Linked DNA regions of Ovis aries. The protein of the gene in region 1 interacts with the protein of each later gene in a pairwise test. Links are inferred from orthologs where the notes say so. Each region holds a gene or a part of one and is shown in the gene's direction. Other genes may lie near its edges.

Region 1 (4,152 bases):
TACATCACGAGAAACGCTGGGCTGGAAGAAACACAAGCCAGAATCAAGATTGCTGGGAGAAATGTCAATAACCTCAGATATGCAGATGACACCACCCTTATGGCAGAAAGCGAAGAACTAAAGAGCCTCTTGATAAAGTGAAAGAGGAGAGTGAAAAAGTTGGCTTAAAGTGCAACATTCAGAAAACTAAGATTATGGCATCTGGTCCCATCACTTCATGGCAAATAGATGGGGAAACAGTGGCTGACTTTATTTTTGGGGGCTCCAAAATCACTGCAGATGGTGACTGCAGCCATGAAATTAAAAGAGGCTTACTCCTTGGAAGGAAAGTATGACCAACCTAGACAGCATATTAAAAAGCAAACATTACTTTTTCATCGAAGGTCGTCTAGTCAAGGCTATGGTTTTTCCTGTGGTCAGGTATGGATGTGAGAGTTGGACTATAAAGAAAGCTGAGCGCTGAAGAACTGATGCTTTTGAACTGTGGCGTTGGAGAAGACTCTTCAGAGTCCCTTGGACTGCAAGGAGATACAGCCAGTCCATCCCAAAGAAGATCAGTCCCAGGTGTTCAATGGAAGGACTGATGTTGAAGCTGAAACTCCAATACTTTGGCCACTTGATGCGAAGAGCTGAGTCACTGGAAAATACCCTGATGCTGCGAAAGATTGAGGGTAGGAGAAGGGGACGAGAGAGGATGAGATGGTTGGATGACATCACCGACTCAATGGACATGAGTTTGAGCAAGCTCCCTGAGTCGGTGAAGGACATGGAAGCCTGGAGTGTTGCAGTCCATGGAGTTGCAAAGAGCTTGACACGACTGACAGGCTGAGCTGAACTGAACTGAATCTCCCTTAAGCAGGATGACTCCCTGAAGGGCTGCGAAACAAAAGGAACGCGCAGAGACCACACCATTGTTTACGTAACTTTCGGCAAATCCCTTTCTTTCTACGAAATATTCAGCTGACAGAAATGGCTGAGATAATTTCTTGCTTGAATTCTCGACGAGTCACACCTGCCTGGTTCCTGGGCAGACCAAAGCCTGAGTCTCAGATCCACCGCCAGCCCTCCCGCTTACCTAACAATCTATACTTCGGGTAACAGAGCCGACGTCTCAGCGCGACCCGGAAGGGGAAATCGCCCTTTCCGCTTGGAAAGGGCCCACCCTCTTCAAATGGCCGGGACAGGAGCAAGACGGGCCTGCGCATGCGCAGTGGCGTTTGCTGCCCTTCCGGTACGCCCGGCGCGGAGAGGCGGCACGGACGCAGGCACGCACGGACGCACCGTGTCCCCTACACGCGCCGCCGCCCTAGCTCCCAGTTACACCCGCAGCGGCGTCAGCCTAGTAGAGATGCTGCGAGCCTGTCAGTTATCCGGCGTGACATCCACCGCCCAGGTGAGGACGGGGGCGCCGGGAGACAGCGCATGGTGGGTGAACTGACCAGCGGAAAATAAGGGAGGCATTGGCTTTGCCTAGGCCCCAGGACAGAGGCGTGTCTCCGGACCGCCCTTATCGCGAGAGTCCTGGGTGGGCCCGTGAGGCAGTTAATTCGGGAGTTCGGTGGACGGGAATGACTGGAGGGTTATTGCTGAAGCGGGATGGGGCGTGGAGAAGAGAAGGTGGCGGGGAGGCGGGTGTAGGACGGGAGGCACGGCCTTGGGGACGTGCCATCCAATCAGCCCCTCGCTGCCTCAGTCTAGGACCAATCGAGGCTGCTGGCGCCCGGGTCGCCGGTTGGGCGCGTGAGAGGTTTCGCGGATCCAGTGGTTGAAGGTCGACGGGGGGGAAACTACAGTTCCCAGAGGGACGCGCATATTCTTGGCTTGTTGCACCTTAAGGAGGTGCCTGGACTGCTAGAGACCGCGTTTTAGGGGTCAAGGTTGTAATTATCCAGGAAGGACTGCCTTTCTTTAAGTAGCTGAGAACGCCTCTTGAGCTATTCTTACTCTGAACAAAAACAGAGTAAGAGCTCGAGCTTCTAGAACTCGAGGAAGGTTAAGCCCCTGACCTTGTGCACGTTTCTGAGATTAGCCTGAGGATCTCTGTCTCTAGGTGCTAGGACAACTTTGGCAGACGTCCAAGTAGTTACCTTTATTTCTGCATAATTATCATAGTAATTTTGGAGAAGGAAATGGCAATCCACCCCAGTATTGCCTGCAGACTGTCATGGACAGAGAAGCCTGGCAGGCTACAGTCCATGGGGTCGCAAAGAGTCGGACAGGACTGACCGACTAAGCACACACATCAAAGTAATTTACTGAAATTTAAAATAGTAAACCTACTTCCATTGCTCACAATTGAAAGAGAATTTGTATTTTGGCAAAATGTGGAATTTACAAAACAGGTTCTGTGACTCGAGCAATTGAGCAAAGTCCCTGGCCTCAGTGGGTTAGAAAAGTCAATTTTTTTCATTTCCTCCAAGTTTGCTTATCTTCCATCTCCCCTTTCGTTTCCAGGGTGAGAGAAGCAGGCTCTTCTGTAGGAAAGTGGAGTGTGTATTAGTTTTCTGTTGCTGTGTGTACATTTCAGGTAGCACAGATGGAGCAGCCTCAAACAGCACCCATTTATTACCTTATTGTTTCTAGAGGTGAATGGTTACCGTTATCTGCTTGCTGTCATACAGGGGTGCAAAGTGTGTCCCTGCTGTGGTTCTCTTTTGAGCTCAGGGTCCTCTTCTAAGCTCCTTCAGTTCGTTAGCAGGATTCAGTCCCTGCAGCTGTAGGGCTGAAGTCCCTGTTTTCTTGCTAGCTCCCACCTCACCTACCTGGGGGCAGCCTGAAATTCTTTGCCACAAGATTCTCAGAAGCAGTTTATAACATAGATGTTTACTTTCTTGCAGGCTACCATGAGCTTGTCTCTCAGACTTTAATATCTCTTCCCTGTTTCTGATTTCCAGACCTAGGTTTAAAAGGCTTATGTGATTAGGGCAAACCCACCTGGATAAATCCCTTTTGATAAATCAGGTCAACTGATTAGAAACCCCCTTATATCTGTAAAATCCCTTTTGCCTGTACAGGTCTAATCATGGGCTTAACCACTGGGGACAGAGATCATGGGAGGCATCTTAGAATCTGGGCTACCAAAAGCCAAGTGGGCCTGGGAGTATGAAGGAAGCGGAGCAATCTTTCAGGGCAAAACTGTAGAGGTGTATCTTTGGGGCCCTCCTTTCAGGCCCACTCTTCCTTATTCTGCCCAAAGGTTACAGCATGATTGTCACTGAACTGTCTCCTCAGTCTACCCTAGGGTCAGTTCTTTACCTTGTTGTTAACAAAGGCCTTTAAAAAAGCACATGGACTGGACCATGCCATGCCCTCCAGTGACATCCCATCGTATCACAATAAAGTCTAAACTCATTACCTATCCACAGGGCTCCTCATGATCTGGCTCTTTGCATATCTTTTTTTTTTTTACTCTGCCTCATTCTGTTCTTCTGATTGCCTTTTCATTTGCTGTTTGCCCTGAAGTCCTCCCACACATCTTTGCTTAGCTCACTCCATTCAGATATTTTCTTAGATATTACTTTTCTTTTAGAGAGGCCTTCCCTAAGACACCTCTGATCACTCTCTCCTTTGCATCACTCTGGAACCTACCCTTACCCTACTTGGTTTTACTTTTAGCTTTTATACTTCCTGACATACTGTGTATTAATTATGTATTTTCCACATTCAAATGGAAGCTCCTCAAAGGGACTGTATTTATATCAGTACTCATAATAGTCCCTAGCTCCTAATAGATACTCAGTAAATGAACATGTCACAAGTGTGACATGTTTGAATGAAAGATTAATGTGTTCTGTGAATTTTTCTTAATTTCCATAAGAGGATGTTCAGTTCAGTTCAGTTGCTTAGTCGTGTCTGACTCTTTGCGACCCCATGAACCACTGCAGCATGCCAGGCCTCCCTGTCCATTACCAATTCCCGGAGTCCACCCAAACCGTTGTCCATTGAGTCGGTGATGCCATCCAACCATCTCATCCTCTGTCGTCCCCTTCTCCTGCCTTCAATCTTTCCCAGCATCAGGGTCTTTTCCAATGAGTCAGCTCTTTGCATCAGGTGGCCAAAGTATTGGAGTTTCAACTTCAACATCAGTCCTTCAACATCAGAACACCCAGGACTGATCTCCTTTAAGATGGACTGGTTGGGTCTCCTTGCAGT
Region 2 (4,040 bases), on another chromosome or scaffold:
TGCTGCTTGCTGTATCTTGAAAGACAAATATAACAATGCTAACTACATGAACTTAATTATACCTTTTTATTGTGTGCCTACTGTGTGCATTGTGCTATGCTTGGAGCTTTCCATCCTGATCTTGTTTACTCCTCAGAATAACTCTGTTAGGTCAGTACTGTTATTCTCATATTAAATGAGGAGACAGACTCTGTTGATACACAACTAGTAAATGGAAGCAGACATACCTACGCTCAGTGTAGACCAAACCTTGAATACAGATTTGTTTAGTTCCAAACTCCCTGCCCTTTCCCCTGCCTCACAGGTTTTTAGAGTAAGGAAGATATCCATTTCTTTCATGTCCATCCTTCTAGTCATCCTTCTGGTTCAAATGCCAGCTATTTTACAGCAGATTTTCAAAATGTGGTTTGCAGTCCACTTAGATCAGATCATAAAAGGAGTTTGCAAAAGTATGTATTTCTGTGCCCCATATCAAAGATTCTAAGTAAGTTTGGGATGAGGATCAGAGAATCTGCATTTTTTTTTTCTTTTAAAAAGAAATTTGGTTTCTCGTGAGAACTCCTGTGTCTACAAGGTCTTCTGAGAACATTCAGTATAAATAAGTTCTTTGGGAAAACGCTTCAACTAAGCCTTCTGGACACGGCTGAGCGACTGAACTGAACTGAAGCCTTCTGGTCTTCTCCATGCTGCCATGTCTGAAACTCAGGCTGATTCTTTCTCATCCCTCCCTGACAGCACAGGACTCGCTGAAGGCATGAATGACTTTAAAGGTTTTAGCTTGATCTACATACATCTTAATTTAGCGACACAAACTAAACTATTTGTCGAAGTGGTTAAAACCACACACGAGGGGACGGAGGCGGGAGGGGGGTTCAGGATGGGGAACACGTGTACACCCGTGGCGGATTCATGTTGATGTATGGCAAAACCAATACAATATTGTAATTAGTCTCCAATTAAAATAAATAAATTTATATTAAAAAAACACACACACGAAATCTGCAGATTGTGCCGTGTTTGGAAGGATGTGGAGAATCACGGCAGGCCCATAGGTCACGTGGGGAAGACGTACTCTGAATCGGAATCCCGGTTATTTCAGGCGTTAATAACGACGGGGAAGGTAGGAAAACCAAGCAGCCCCACTCATGCGCAGGCGCAGAAGGAAGAGGCCCTATCAAATCTTCAGGGCGCGCCCTTCCCCCACGCTCTTTCCGGGCTTCTCCCACTGCGCAGGCGCAGTAGTGAAGCAAGATGGCGGCCCCCGTGGATCTGGAGTTGAAGAAGGTAAAAGAGGGTCTTGAGCAGGCAGAAGCTTTTCTTTGGAAGCTAAGGCGACTGTGGACAATAATGTCGAGTGAGTCTCGAGTGCTGCGGAAGGAAAGAGGCCCCAGGGAAATGGGGAGTGGTTTCTCAGAGTGCAAAGGCGGGACCGGGCCTCCTTAGGCGGGAGTCGAGGGCGAGCGGCTCTTTGCCGGGTAAGAGCCGGTTGGGCTGGGCCTGGTTAAGTTTGGCGGGCCTATAGCTGTTTTGTTCCCTTGTTCCGAGCTCCAGAGACCTTTCGTTGCTCTTGGTGCCTTCAGTTCCATAGTGAGGCCTGAAATGAGCGCTTCCAGTTGGAGCCTCTTAGCCTGCTTGCCCGAGCTGTAGCATCTGTAATTCTGTATACTAATTTGCTTTGAAAAACTCCAAGTCCAGTCTGTTTTTAGGTCAGTTCTTTAATCCCATATCTTGTAAGGTCGCTTCATACAGTTCAGTCAGGTATCCTCGTAGCAATGTTCATCTTAGGGCTTTGCCAACAACCGCCCCCTCCCCACCCTCGTTTTTAAAGATTTGTCAAAGAAGAAACAAGTCAAAGGTTTCCAGATCAAATTGGTATCAGAAGGAATTGAGTTTCTCTCTTCAAACAATTGCCTAGAAATGTGTTGTTACACAGAAATGTTTTCACCACCTGAGAGTTGTCAGGATTCTAACACCACTACCGACTCAAAAGCGTATCCTTTTTTTTTTTTTTTTTTTTGCGAAGAGAAGGAGAATGGGGATTGGAAAGGAGCCTAGACTTCATCTACTTTAAACTGATACTTTTCTAGAAAAGGAAACAGTTTAACAGAAGAGTCAGCCCAAGCTTGGTTCTAGAATATTGCATTCTCTGCCTCACTTTCCACCTTTTGACCACTACTTGAGGTTAGAAGAGCAAATTTTGTTTAAGACTGTCTTGTAATCTATCTTTGCATGAGAAATAAGACAGTTGAAGTAGCTCTTCCACGTAATAGATGAAGCAGTGTATTATTGCTCTGAGGATTTGTGTGTGTGTATTGCCTTTTGTTTGGAACTTGTACCTTTACTCCTTATGGTGCTGTCTAGTGCTGTATTATCTCAGCTTTAACAAAATACTAGCTTCCTTACCAAACTGTGTCTTAAAGTGTTTTAAAAGTTTACCTTTTTTTTCCGTTAAAAGTTCAAATTTAAGTTAGGGTTTAGTGAGAGCTAACAATAGAATACAGCTATGAATGGACTTACCCCTCAGTATTATTTCAGTCTGTTGCTGGGAAACCTGTGGACAGTGAATGCAAACTAAGAAGATAATTACAGACTTAAATTGGGTAGTTTTGTCAACCAATAAAATTACAGAAGAAACTTGTTTAAAGGTCTTTTAATGTTTATAATTTTGGGGGGAGGGGAAGGGATGGAGACTAATAGGAAACTTTAGGTACCTCCTCTCCCCTCTAGATAAACCTTTTGAAACCTTACTAGTAGGTGAGAACAAAGTCAGAATAAAAGTTAGTAGCTTTTTGCCATGTATTGCAGCCACAGATGTTATTATTAAGTCAGAATTTGACAGCATGTGAAAATCATTCTAGGCACTTCAGAAGTATCAAAAACCTTTTAACAGTACTCAGAGGTCAAGTTTGGCTTATCGTGTGCATATGAAGATCATGATGCAATTCTTTTATCAATGCTTTGAATTTTTTTGTGTGTCTTTCTCTTAAAATATTCATTTTCTGAATATTACTGTGGATAGTAGAGTAGAAAGATTCAGTAACTAGCGGTCAGAAGTTAATTAAGTACTTGGTTTTTGACCTAGTAGTTGCTCAGCCCTGTGAAAGTCATTTATATCTCTTTAAAACATTTAGTTAATTTGTAAACTGTGCTGATGAATCTGCCATCCTTAACTCAGGATTATTGAAAAGAGAAAATGAGACATTTATTATATGTCAGTATTCTCATATTAATATTCACATGTTAATATTTCAAACAAGTGTGGGAAAGTGCTTTAAATAATCTTGAGTAGTACAGATGTGGTGAGTTGTTACATTAATGGTTCCTGATTTGGGTCTCTGGGTTTGTGATTGTTGCCTTTAGAGCTTTTATTAATCCTTGGGTACCTGCTACTTGATATGGTTGTTATTTACCGTGCCTTTGTTCAGCTTCTTCAGATAGGTTGCATCTTCTGAGGACTGGGTAAGTTCAGTACAGTTGACTCTTGAACAGCATTGGTTTAAACGTCAGGGATCCAGTTGTACACAGATTTTTAAAATAGTAAATACTAGAGTACTACATGATATGTAGTTGGTTGAATCAACAAATGTAGAACCAGGGATACAAAGGAACTGCTATATGGAGAGTCAACTATAAATTATACTTGGATTTTCAACTGCACAGAGGGTCAGTGCTTCTAATCACTGAATTGTTCAGGGCTCAAGTTTTTAGCAGACTGGCTTTGAGATGTTTGCTGTGGTAAATTTCACGGCTTTGTCTGTTTAACAGGCTTCATTTTAATAGATTTGATATAGACATTTACTGTAAAATGTTGCACCTACTAAATCAAGGACTTATTTCTTTTTAGGCCTTCACAGAGCTTCAAGCCAAAGTTATTGACACTCAACAGAAGGTGAAGCTTGCAGATGTACAGATTGAACAGCTGAACAGAACGAAAAAGCATGCACATCTTACAGATACAGAGATTATGACTTTGGTAGATGAGACTAACATGTATGAAGGTGTAGGAAGAATGTAAGTAAAGTATATCCTTAAGGGGGTTA
Region 3 (4,258 bases), on another chromosome or scaffold:
AGTGAATTTTATTGAATGTCAATAATAATCAGATATAAAATTTAAGTTAAAAACTCCACATCATAAGCAAAGAACACATAAAGCATGGAGCACTTTGAAAATGGCAAAAATGAGTGTAAATAAAAACTATAAAGGTATTCATCATGCTTAATCACTCAGTCGTGTGGGACTCTTTGCGACCTCATGGACTGCAGCCTGCCAGGCTTCCCTGTCCATGTGGATGCTCCAGGCTAGAATACTGTAGTGGGTTGCCATGTCCTCTTTGAGGGATCTTCCAAACCCAGGGATCGAACCCAGGTCTCCCGCATTGCAGGCGTTCTTTACCATCTGAGCCACCAGGGAAGCCCAAAGGCATCCATGAGAAGAAGTAAAAAGAGACCGCAAAGCGTGGAAAGGATCTACTGTGAGCCTGTGCGTGGTGGATGAAAGACAGATGGGACACAACCATAAACACCCAGTAGAACAAGGGTGTGGCTTTGTGCTGGTTACAGAGCCCTGGCACATCATTTGGTGGTCATCACCTCCCTGGGAGTTAGGTAGGCTGGCACAGATTCTCCTGCTTTATAGAAACAGAGACTCAGAGAAAAGGAGTTACTCACTCAGTTCATTACAGTCGCTCAGTTGTGTCCAACTCTTTGCGACCCCATGGACTGCAGCACGCCAAGCCTCCCTGTGCATCACCAACTCCCAGACCTTACTCAAACTCATGTCCATTGAGTCAGTGATGCCATCCAACCATCTCACCCTGTCATCCCCTTCTCCTCCTGCCTTCAATCTTTCCCAGCATCAGGATCTTTTCAAATGGGCCAGTTCTTCATATCAGGTGGCCAAAATATTGGAGTTTCAGCTTCAGAATCAGTCCTTCCAATGAATATTCAGGACTGATTTCCTTCAGAATGGACTGGTTTGATCTCCTTGCAGTTCATGGGACTCTTAAGAGTCTTCTCCAACACCACAGTTCACACGCATCGATTCTTCCGCACTCAGCTTTCTTTAGAGTCCAACTCTCACAGCCATACATGAATACTGGAAAACCCATAGCTTTGAGTCGACGGATCTTTGTTGGCAAGCAGAGACATTAATACTCGCTCAGGAAGCCGTATTAAGTAGCAAACAGGAAAGGGCATGCGTATTTCGAGGGCACTCAGTCCAGTTCGCCTTAAACCTGAGAAAAAGGCACCGGAAATCCTGGAAGCGCTGCGGCCGCCGGCCAGTCCTCGGGCGGTCTCCTCAGTGGCGAGTGGAGAAGCACCTCCCTCGAGCGGCGGCTTAGAGGGGCGGGGCCTGGGCGCTGTCCCTCCGCGGGCACGCAGCCCCACCCACGCCGGCGTCGTCGCGTGCGCGCGCAGCCGGGCAGGGGGCGGGGCCCCGCGGCGCGTCCGTTGCTAAGGCCGCGCCACCCCTGGCGACCGAGGGCCGCGGCCCGGCGCACGCGCCTGGGCGGACTCCGGTGCACTGTGGGATGGGAACCCGAGCGGCGCGTCGAGGCCGGAGCGGGCAGCCGAGGCGGCGGCGGGGCCGGCGGCGGCCCGGGAGCCGGGCTTAGGCTCTGTGGCCGGCGGGGCGCGGCCATGAACGCGGCGGTGGTGAAGCGGACGCAGGAGGCTCTGGGCAAGGTGATCCGGAGGCCGCCGCTGACCGAGAAGCTGCTGAACAAGCCCCCGTTCCGCTACCTGCACGACATCATCACGGAGGTGAGCGCCGGGCCGGGATCGGAACTGCGGTCTGGGCCGGGTCCCCGTGCGCGGACCGGGTGCGGCCCGGGGTGCGGGCTAGGGTGCAGGTCCGGGGGTCGGGGCCCATGTGGGATGTCGGGGTGCGGGCCGGAGACCGGGATGCAGATCGGCGGTCGGTGTTGGGGTGGGAGTCGGAGGACGGGGGTTGGGGGGTTCGGACCAAAGCTGGCGTCGGGATCGGACCTCGCGTCTCGGAGCGCTGCCCCTGCCCGAGGAGCCCGGCCTCGGCGGGACGGATGACCCCTGGGCCACCTTTCCCGGGAGTGTCCCGGCTCTTGGGGAGCATTCTTATGTTTTCCGTCCTGCCCCAGTCTTCTTAGAGCAGATCTTCCACTCAGCCTGGCAGGGCTGTTTCTGAGACTTTTTTTCCCTTGCAGCGTCTGGCAGATGGAGAGTGTTTACAAATCCCAGGAGAAGGACATTATTTTCTCGTTAGTGCCCCACCCGAGTTTCCCACCACCTGCTCCTGCTGTGATCACCCCATTGTTGTTCCGTCGCTAAGTCCTGTCCGACTCTTCCCAACCCCATGGACTCCATGCAGCATGCCAGGCCTCCCTGTCCTTCACCACCTGCCGGAGCTTGCTCAAACTCGTGTCCATTGAGTCGGTGATGCCGTCCAACCATCTTACCCTCTGTTGTCCCCTTCTCCTCCCACCTTCAGTCTTTCCCAGCATCAGAGCCTTTTCCAGTGAGTCGGCTCTTGCCCATATTAGATGTTTAATCAATACCTTTGGGTGGACTTATTGAAGGTGGTTGTTGGGGGACCTGGAAGGATAATAACTATAAAAAGCAGGGCTGTATTTGCTGATCGATGGCGGAGCATGCCTTGATATTAGTTGTCTCACCCTCTTGCCCACTGGCTGGCGGGTTCCTGAGTGATGGAGACTTGTTTGTTGGCACATCCCGGGCACGGTACACAGAAAGTGCACAGCAAACACTCACTGCTGAATGGAGTCAGTCACGGCTCCGTGACTCCAGTGTCAGCGCCCATTTCCATGGTGCGCCCTAGTGTGGTGTTGCCCTTGGGAACCCAGGCATGCTCTCTGGGCTTCAGGAATCAGGTTCAATTTGCAGGTGTCCCGGCCTCCTATTCTTGCTCATGTTGGTCCTTAAACTTCACTTCTCAATCCTTCCAACAGGTTTGGCATCTTACTCTTCCACAAACTGTGCCTTTCTTGTCTTTGCTCTCTTGACTTAGCTTATGATGTGGACCTCTCTGTGCTTATAAGCTGTGCTTAAACCTCTCAAAACTGACCCACATCCCCAGGGCTGTCTTGACTGGCCTCCTTGTTCTCCTAAGCTAGTGCAGCACCTAGACCGCCCTGGACAGTGTCTGGGGAAGGGACGAGGCTGTGTGGAGAGCCTGGTGGGACAGGGCTGTGTAAGGAGCCTCTACGGAGAGCCAGGCCTTGAGTGTCATCACCTCTTCCTGTGAAATGGGCGGGTGGTGTCCTCTGACCCAGGAGGGATCCAGTCACTTAGCCAGGAGGTACGTGGCTGACTGCACCTGTTGCTGCCCCAGCCAGACACTTTGATTTTCTGTGTTTGTCCTGTTTTCTCACTGAAACCAGAAAGCCAGGAAAGAGGCTGGGGGGGGAAGGGGGGGCGGCCTGCATCTTTCTGTGGGTCCTGGTGTGGGCTTATCATGGTGGCTGCTGTCCCCACCTCCGGCAAGGTTGGAGGGGGGAGGAGAGTTCAGGCAGGAATCCACTCCATTGCCAGGTAGCCAGACTGTGGGGAAGGAGTTCCGTGTTCCCCATTGGGATGCACTGGTCTGCCTTTTTGCTAATCTAAGGTCAAAAGTTGGACTGTAAAGAAAGCTGAGCACCGAAGAATTGATGCTTTTGAACTGTGGTGTTGGAGAAGACTCTTTAGAGTCCCTTGGACTGCAAGGAGATCCAACCAGTCCATTCTAAAGGAGATCAGTCCTAGGTGTTCTTTGGTGTTCTTTGCTAGAGCTGAAACTCCAGTACTTTGGCCACCTCATGCGAAGAGTTGACTCATTGGAAAAGACTCTGCTGGGAGGGATTGGGGGCAGGAGGAGAAGGGGATGACAGTGGATGAGATGGCTGGATGGCATCACCGACTCGATGGATGTGAGTTTGAGTGAACTCCGGGAGTTGGTGATGGACAGGGAGGCCTGGCGTGCTGTGGTTCATGGGGTCGCAAAGAGTCGGACAGGACTGAGCGACTGAACTGAACTGAAGGTCAAAAGTAATCTCTCTACCTGTATAAAGATAAGTATGTTAATTGTCACTTATTTGATAAAGATGTTAGAACAACTGACATATGGAAAGCGTTTTCAAATAATACATGGCAATTCTCTGAGCAAAATTCTTTACTACCCCTGAGTATTGTGTTCAAATCGCCATATTCTAGAGTTTTAGTTACTGCTAAGCTAACTCCGTATCTTTCATAACTTGAAGCGTTGATCCTGTGAAATTAATGCCTCTTGTTGCTGGAAATGATTGCTCACACTGTCGACACACTAGAAAAACCTCAAAAGGAGCAAAATGAAGAAG
Region 4 (3,940 bases), on another chromosome or scaffold:
GGAACAACGGTCTGGTTCCAAATTGGGAAAGGAGTACGTCAAGTCTGGATATTGTCACCCTGCTTATTTAACTTCCATGGAGAGTACATCATTTGAAATGCCAAGCTGGATGAAGCACAAGCTAGAATCAAGATTGCAGGAAGAAATATCAATAACCTCAGATACGCAGATGACACCACCCTAATGCCAGGAAGCGAAGAGGAACTAAAGAGCCTCTTGATGAAACTGAAAGAGGAGAGCAAAAAAACCACTCAAAACTCAACATTCCAGCTCGCGTCAGCACATATGCTAAAACTGGAACGATACAGAGGTTAGCACGGCCCCTGCACAAGGATGATACGAAAATTCGTGAAGCATTCCATATTAAAAACAAAAACAAAAACCCTCAACATTAAAATAACAGATCATGGCATCCTGTCCCATCACTTCATGGCAAACAGATGGGGAAAAAATGAAAACAGTGGCAGATTTTCTTTTTCTTGGGCTCCAAAATCACCGTGACTATACAATAGTGACTACACCCATTAAATGAAAAGACGCTTGCTCCTTGGAAGAAAAGCTATGACCAACTAGACAACATATTAAAAAGCAGAGACGTTAATTTGCCGACAAAGGTCCTTCTAGTCAAAGCTATAGTTTTTTCAGTAGTCATGTATGGATGTGAGAGTTGGACCAGAAAGAAGACTGAACGTTGAAGAATTGATGCTTTTGAACTGTGGTGTTGGTAGAGTCTTGAGAGTCCCTTGGACAGCAAGGAGATTCAACTAGTCAATCCTGCAAAAAAATCAACCCTGAATATTCACTGTAACTACTGATGCTGAAACTGAAGCTCCAATACTTTGGCCACCTGATGCAAAGAACTGACTCACTGGAAAAGACCCTGATGCTGGGAAAGATTGAAGGCAGGAAAAGAGGACGACAGAGGATGAGATGGTTGGATGGCAAAGAGCCAGACACAACTGAGCCACTGGACTTAACTGAGGGAAAAAACAAAACAAAAACCAACGTTTGCGCATGCCCACTAAAACACCCCTACTGGCCCCCACCCACCGGGTGCTGGCTCAGCCCCGCCTCTCCCGGTTTCCGGGGGAACTGTGTTACTGCGACACTGCTCCGGCTCTCCTTTTTCCGCCCTCCATTGCTTTCTCCGGTGCAATGGCATCCGGCCTGACAAAGCTGCTGCTGCGAGGTCCCCATTGCCTCCTGGCCACGGCCGGCCCCACTCTCGCTCCGCCGGTTCGGGGAGTGAAGAAGGGATTCCGCGCCGCTTTCCGGTTCCAGAAGGAGTTAGAGCGGTGGCGCCTGCTCCGGTGCCCGCCGCCGCCGGTGCGCCGGTAGGAGCCACCGGGGGAAGAGGTTAGGGGTGGCTGTCCTGGAGCCGGGGCGTGCTCCCCGCGGCTTCGGCCGGGGGGGCGGGTAGGGATGCTCATCGTTCGTTTGCTCCTGGCTTGACCCTAGTTGTGCGATAGAGACTCCCACGGGTCGTGGACGCGTGGCGGAGGCAAAGGGCATGCATTTCTGCTGGGCGCATGGTTGCCCCCGACGCTCTTGGAACTCCCATTTGGAATCCTGTAGGAGAAGGCAATGGCACCCCACTCCAGTACTCTTGCCTGGAAAATCCCATGGACGGAGGAGCCTGGTAGGCTGCAGTCCACGGGGTCGCTAAGAGTCGGACACGACTAAGCGACTTCACTTTGACTTTTCACTTTCATGCATTGGAGAAGGAAATGGCAACCCACTCCAGCATTTTTGCCTAGAGAATCCCAGGGATGGGGGAGCCCGGTGGGCTGCTGTCAGAGGGGTTGCACAGAGTCGGACACGACTGAAGCGACTTAGCAGCAGCAGCAGCAGACTGAGACTTGTGAGAAATAAGGCCAGCTGGAGGGTAACCTATACCGGGCTTGCGTGTTTTAGCCCCTGCTTTGTATTGCTGCCTCAGAATTCCTTGGGTACGGACAAGAGGGAGGAAAGCACAAAACGGTATTGCGATATAGGGCAAGGAAAAAAGTACACAATGACAAGTCCACTGTTCAGAGGAAAGGGAAAACAGCTTGGCTTTAGGTTTTTGCCATAATTAATCTTGTTCTGCTAGAGGAAAGTCTGGTAGGAAGACCCTCAGATCTTCATATAACTCCAGAAAAGATCCCCTTACACATGAGGTTTTGCTTTTTTTTTTTAAATAATGTTTCTTTGACCTGTGTCGTGGTGGTACAAATAGATGCACCTCACTCTTTGATGGCTCCGTTTGACGGGTGTTTGAGTTACTGTTGCTACTACAACCGATGTAACACCGAATAGCTTTGAAGTTATTGCTCCTTTGGAAATTTAGTATGAAAATTGATAGCTATTTTAATATTGCCCTTCCCCCCAAAAAGCCGATGTATTTTATACACTTGGTAGGAATATATATGTTCATAGTTCTATATTTTTTCAACACAGAATATTGTTTTTTCCTAAAAACAATAGTAAAATAGTGTTCCTTCTTAATCTACATTTGGTTATAGTGAGGTTAGTCATTTTAGGCTTTTATAGTTGTTAGAAACTTTATATATTATATAGATTATATATATCTTAATGACTTACAACCCAGATCTTTATGCTTTGCAGCCCTTTTTTACTTGAGGGTTTTATTTTTGGTTTATTGTCTTTAGTTTTTAAAAGACCTTTTAGTCGTTCTTGAGAATGGTTGTGAAGTTTTAACCTACTTACAATATTGTATTTTATTGTTTTAAGATTTGGAAGCATTCATTGAAAATTAGCAATAAAATCTAGTATCAATTGCAAATTTTCAATGAATGCTTCCAAATCTTAATAAAATACAATATAAATATAACATACTTAGTGTTTATGACTTGAACATATGAAATTATAATTTCTATTTCATGTGTGAGTATAAAGCATAGTTCCATGGTTATAACAGTAGAACCTAAAAGTGAGGATAAGGTCTTAGTCTCTGTTGATGAACTGCTTTGATGTGGCAGTTGACTCAGAGGGACAGTTAATCCAGCAAAGGACCACAAGTAATCATCTGACGTAAGTTTTAATTTTTAGAAAATCAGATTCTGGAATTAAAATGAAGCTCAGTCTTTTAAAATTTTCTTTATATAATTAAATAAAATTGCATCACAATGAGAAATGTTTGCATCACAGCACATCTTGTTCTCTTTATTACCTCTTACTGTCTTGTGTTTTACATTTTCAGTTCGGAGAAGCCCAATTGGGATTACCATGCTGAAATACAAGCATTTGGCCCTCGGTTACAGGAAACTTTTTCATTAGATCTTCTCAAAACTGCGTTTGTTAATAGCTGCTATATTAAAAGCGAGGAGGCCAAACGCCAAAAACTTGGAATAGAGAAGGAAGCTGTTCTTCTGAACCTCAAAGATAATCAAGAACTATCTGAACAAGGGACATCTTTTTCACAGACATGCCTCACGCAATTTTTTGCGGACGCTTTCCCAGACTTGCCCACTGAAGGCGTTAAAAGTCTGGTTGACTATCTCACCGGTGAGGAAGTTGTGTGTCACGTGGCTAGAAACTTGGCAGTGGAGCAGTTGACGCTGAGTGCGGACTTCCCTGTCCCCCCAGCTGTGTTACGGCAGACTTTCTTTGCAGTGATTGGAGCCCTGCTACGGAGCAGTGGACCCGAGAGGACTGCACTCTTCATCAGGGTAGGTGATTGTTAGCTGCACGTGCTGGAACATGCTTGAGGTAGAAAGAAAAACTTCTTTTTGTACTTTACTTCTTTGCGCTATGACCTTGGCAGGTTACATGTGAATTTTTCTCCTGATCCAAACTGAGAAAGACCTAAAGCTTTTTATCAGTTCAGTTCAGTCACTCTGTTGTGTCCGACTCTTTGCGACTCCATGGACTGCAGCATGCCAGGCCTCCCTATCCATCACCAACTCCTGGAGTTTACTCATACTCATGTCCATTGAGA
Region 5 (4,229 bases), on another chromosome or scaffold:
TGGCTGCAGTCACCATCTGCAGTGATATTGGAGCCCCCCAAAATAAAGTCTGACACTGTTTCCCCATCTATTTCCCATGAAGTGATGGGACCGGATGGGACTGGATTTTCTGAATGTTGAGCTTTAAGCCAACTTTTTCGCTCTCCTCTTTCACTTTCATCAAGAGGCTTTTTAGCTCCTCTTCACTTTCTGCCATAAGGGTGGTGTCATCTGCATATCTCACAAGGTCAAGTTAGTGAAATCTGGCATTACTGTAACTGGGAAATGTCCTGCTCTGGGAAAACTCCAGATGATTGCCTGGGACTGTTTTTCCTCCTATTTGGAGTTTGCCAGGGAGAAAATTATAAATGAAGGATGACACCTCAGTTCCACCTAGAGAGAGCCCCAGCTTCCCTCTACTCTTTGTGTGCAATTCAAGGTCTATACCCAAGGGTAGGGTGACTTACTACTGGATAATGTTGAGTAAGACAGGATACTAACTGAAGTCAGTTAAATTCCCAGCCCCACTTCTGCAGAGAGCAGCACTCCCTGATACTTTGGAGTCTTGCTCAAATAAACAAGGTCTTTTGTTCTAGAGTTTGTCTCCCCTTCCCTCCCCGAAAATAAGGCCTGCAGCCTTATTTTAAGTGAAACTTGAAAGAGGGTTTGCTGGCGGCAGTCTACTCTCAGGTGTCTACATTCTTGAAAAAGCTCATTTTGTCCGGCATCTTCAAACTCTTGGTAAACCATTCGTGTGGTTTTTGTTGGACTCTTTCTCAGGTGACTGCTTTGTGCCGCCTCTCAATTTACGCTCTAAAAAAAAAGGCAAATCATCCTGGTAAACTCAACCCCAGCATGGTGAGGGAAGAAACACTTGTCCTCTTTTCTGAGTACTCCCAACAGTCCAGAGGGAGGTTGAACTGAGCCTCCTAAAATTCCCGCCTCCCCGGCCGCGGGTGAAGCCCTAGGGCCTTTTACTCCAGGAACAGGAGTGAGAAGGGAGAGGAGGTGGGGCCGGAGAGAGGCAGCGCGCAGCGGTACCCAGTGGTGCTGCGAGACTGCTCCCTCCAGAGTACGTGGCAGTCCCCGTGGACAGAAGGGGAGGGGATTCGGCTTTCTCCTCCCCGTGCAGAGCCTCGGACAGTCCTCCCGGGCGGGAGGGAGGAACCGCAAGGGGACTGGTGCGCTTTTGGAGTGAAATTTTAGCAGATAAAAGTGGCCTGGCAGCGGTCGGCCTCCGTCCCGCTCTTCCACCTGGGTAACCACAGCAGGTCGAGCCTGCGCTGTACCGCGAGGAGCATTGACTTGTTCGGGAGCGAGGTGACGCGCTGGCCACCCCGCATGCGCAGAGCGAGGAGCCGGCCTCCTGGACTACAGCTCCCAGAGGAGTTTGCCGGCGGCTGCAGGCGTCGAGCCGCCGGCGCCATCTTGAAATCTGATCCTCAATCTCTGAGTCTTTGCGTCAGCCGCGGGCGGCAGCCGGAGGACCGCGAACTCAGCCCGCTGAAAAGGGAGGACATTGAGGACACAGCGGCTGGCGGGAGAGACAGCTGGAGGAGACATGGCAGGTTCTGAGCGCGGCCTGCGCTGCTGTCACTCAGCATCCTCCTGAGGCATTTCCTCGCCCGCCGCCTCCCCGAGGGGCGGGGCTGATCACTCTGGTACCCAGAACCCGCGCGCGGGTGTCAGCGGAGCGCCCCTGCAGAGTGGGCACCCCACCAAGCTGTGCCATGCCAGCCGGAGGCCACCGAGGCGGGAGACGGAACGCAACCAAGCGCCAGTGAGCGATCACCGAGCAGCAGCCGCCTCCGGGAAGCTCGGCCACCGCAGGAGGGAAGATGAAGGAGATTTGCAGGATCTGTGCCCGGGAGCTGTGCGGAAACCAGCGGCGCTGGATCTTCCACACGGCGTCCAAGCTCAACCTCCAGGTTCTGTTGTCGCACGTCCTGGGCAAGGATGTCTCCCGCGATGGCAAAGCTGAGTTTGCTTGCAGCAAGTGCGCGTTCATGCTCGATCGGATCTATAGATTCGACACCGTCATTGCCCGGATCGAAGCCCTTTCTATTGAGCGCTTGCAGAAGCTGCTGCTGGAGAAGGACCGCCTCAAGTTCTGCATTGCTAGCATGTATCGGAAGAATAACGATGACCCTGGCTCAGAGACCAAGGCGGGGAATGGAACGGTTGACATTTCCAGCTTACCCGATGTCAGATACTCTGCACTGCTCCAGGAAGACTTTGCCTATTCAGGGTTCGAGTGTTGGGTAGAAAATGAGGATCAGATTCAGGAGCACAGCTGTCATGCTTCGGAAGGCCCCGGAAATCGACCCAGGAGGTGCCGAGGCTGTGCAGCTTTGCGGGTGGCTGATTCTGACTACGAAGCCATTTGTAAGGTACCTCGAAAGGTGGCGAAAAGTATTTCTTGTGGCCCCTCTACCAGATGGTCCACCAGCATTTGCACTGAAGAACCAGCGTTGTCCGAGGTTGGGCCACCAGATTTACCAAATGCGAAGGTACCTCCAGATGGAGAAAGCATGGAGGAAGGGACCCCGGGATCCTCTGTGGAATCTTTGGATGCAAGTATCCAGGCTAGTCCTCCACAACCAAAGGATGAGGAACCTGAGAGAAGTGCAAAGGAACTTGTAAAGTGTGACTGCTGTTCAGATGAACAGGCTCCCCAGCATACGTGTAACCATAAGCTGGAGCTAGCTCTTAGCATGATTAAAGGTCTTGATTATAAGCCCATCCAGAGCCCCCGAGGGAGCAAGCTTCCTATTCCAGTGAAATCCAATCCATCTGGAACCAGGCCTGGCCATATCATGACAGATGGAGTTAGTTCTGGTTTCCTTAACAGGTCTTTGAAACCCCTTTACAGGACACCTGTGAGTTATCCCTTGGAGATTTCAGACCTGCAGGAGCTGTGGGATGATCTCTGTGAAGATTATCTGCCACTTCGGGTCCAGGTATACAAAATGGCTGCATATTGCCTTTCTGATTAAAGTTAGCTGGCTTCAGGCTTCACATGATTTCTATCTAGGGGAAGGTTAATAGTCTAGACTTGGTAACCCATTTTTGCTTTACCTTTTGCTTCTGTCCATTTTAATAAATGTGATTCACACAAGTAATTTGCTTTCCACAATAGCCTCTTTATAAGATTATCTGTTGGCTTTCCCACTAATTATCAAAATTGTACATGTTTAAGACAAAGATTCATAATTCATTTTTACCCTAAAAAAATTTTAATCTTATTTCTGGCACTGGAACTCTTTCCTCTCACTTGTCCTACCGCCTCTCTACTTTTGTCTGTTTTGTTTTCACTTTTAGATTTATGAATATTTTCTTCTCTGAGGGAGGGAGTTCTCAAGTTAGTCCGCCCTAGAGCATTAAGCCATTCATCCCCACCTGTGCCTTGAACTGATTAGAGCATAGGGTAAAGGTTTGAGGAGAACCTATTAATCCACCAAAATATTGTAATATGTGGACAACATTTATAAATTAAGAGGTCATTTGAGGACTAATGATGACTTTTTCATAAAAGAGACTTGGGAATTCAGAATTTAAAATGTTAAGGCAAAACGTGTCTACAGCCAGTTTGTATAATGAGCTCTATGTGAAGATGTTTGGTGTTGAGCAGGACTTCATCCATTATTGGGTGATAGAGTTTTACCTGTTTTACTCGTGAATTTCGTAATGACTGGAAGATGGCAGTTGATCTTACTTTGAGCTGTTCATACCAATCTTTTAAATTCAGTTGTGTACAGGGGCCTGACAGATGCTGTCTTGTTTATACAGCAGCAGTAGTTTCAGTTAATGTTGTGAAACATCTGGCATGTTCTACTTGATATAGATTCTTTAGTGATACCGTTACAGAGGTGGACAATCTAGAAGGTGTTTCTGGAAAGCTTGCTAACCAGTCAACATCATCCCAGAATCTTAGAGCTTCTAAATGAAATTGTTGATTGTCACTTGACAGCTTTGAAAAACAGTTCTATTATGTATAAAATTTGCATCACAGTAAGAATATGGGAGAAATATTTTTGAATTTGCACTAACTTGTCAGAAACAGCATTGTTAGGGAAAAGTATGAGTATCCAAAAGTTTAAACTGTGTTTTCATTTCTATAAAATGTTTAGGATGCCCAACACTTGTGTACTTTCCTTTCGCTCCCTTTTCTTTCATTGACCTTCACAGCTAAATTTGAGCTTTCCAGTACAGTATTTCTGTGAGCCAACATAGATGTCACAGATTCATCG

Evidence for each region.
Region 2: the proteins of IMMT (region 1) and PFDN1 interact in a two-hybrid assay, tested with the Homo sapiens proteins (2 studies listed by BioGRID and IntAct). The link is inferred for Ovis aries from reciprocal best matches to the Homo sapiens genes IMMT and PFDN1.
Region 3: the proteins of IMMT (region 1) and TRAF3IP1 interact in a two-hybrid assay, tested with the Homo sapiens proteins (2 studies listed by BioGRID and IntAct). The link is inferred for Ovis aries from reciprocal best matches to the Homo sapiens genes IMMT and TRAF3IP1.
Region 4: the proteins of IMMT (region 1) and MRPL44 interact in a two-hybrid assay, tested with the Homo sapiens proteins (2 studies listed by BioGRID and IntAct). The link is inferred for Ovis aries from reciprocal best matches to the Homo sapiens genes IMMT and MRPL44.
Region 5: the proteins of IMMT (region 1) and PDE4DIP interact in a two-hybrid assay, tested with the Homo sapiens proteins (2 studies listed by BioGRID and IntAct, with this or other methods). The link is inferred for Ovis aries from reciprocal best matches to the Homo sapiens genes IMMT and PDE4DIP.

What each region holds. Positions count from the first base shown.
Region 1 is NC_056056.1:58,091,980-58,096,131, reverse strand, and holds the start of IMMT (MICOS complex subunit MIC60), read left to right. Parts: upstream 1-1,348; coding exon 1,349-1,393; intron 1,394-4,152. UniProt on the Homo sapiens protein: Component of the MICOS complex, a large protein complex of the mitochondrial inner membrane that plays crucial roles in the maintenance of crista junctions, inner membrane architecture, and formation of contact sites to the outer membrane.
Region 2 is NC_056058.1:49,170,293-49,174,332, reverse strand, and holds the start of PFDN1 (prefoldin subunit 1), read left to right. Parts: upstream 1-1,235; 5' UTR 1,236-1,251; coding exon 1,252-1,284; intron 1,285-3,844; coding exon 3,845-4,011; intron 4,012-4,040. UniProt on the Homo sapiens protein: Binds specifically to cytosolic chaperonin (c-CPN) and transfers target proteins to it. Binds to nascent polypeptide chain and promotes folding in an environment in which there are many competing pathways for nonnative proteins.
Region 3 is NC_056054.1:2,994,477-2,998,734, reverse strand, and holds the start of TRAF3IP1 (TRAF3-interacting protein 1), read left to right. Parts: upstream 1-1,452; 5' UTR 1,453-1,571; coding exon 1,572-1,694; intron 1,695-4,258.
Region 4 is NC_056055.1:226,107,426-226,111,365, forward strand, and holds the start of MRPL44 (large ribosomal subunit protein mL44), read left to right. Parts: upstream 1-1,137; 5' UTR 1,138-1,155; coding exon 1,156-1,334; intron 1,335-3,202; coding exon 3,203-3,671; intron 3,672-3,940. UniProt on the Homo sapiens protein: Component of the 39S subunit of mitochondrial ribosome. May have a function in the assembly/stability of nascent mitochondrial polypeptides exiting the ribosome.
Region 5 is NC_056054.1:97,759,420-97,763,648, forward strand, and holds the start of PDE4DIP (myomegalin), read left to right. Parts: upstream 1-1,423; 5' UTR 1,424-1,817; coding exon 1,818-2,939; intron 2,940-4,229. UniProt on the Homo sapiens protein: Functions as an anchor sequestering components of the cAMP-dependent pathway to Golgi and/or centrosomes.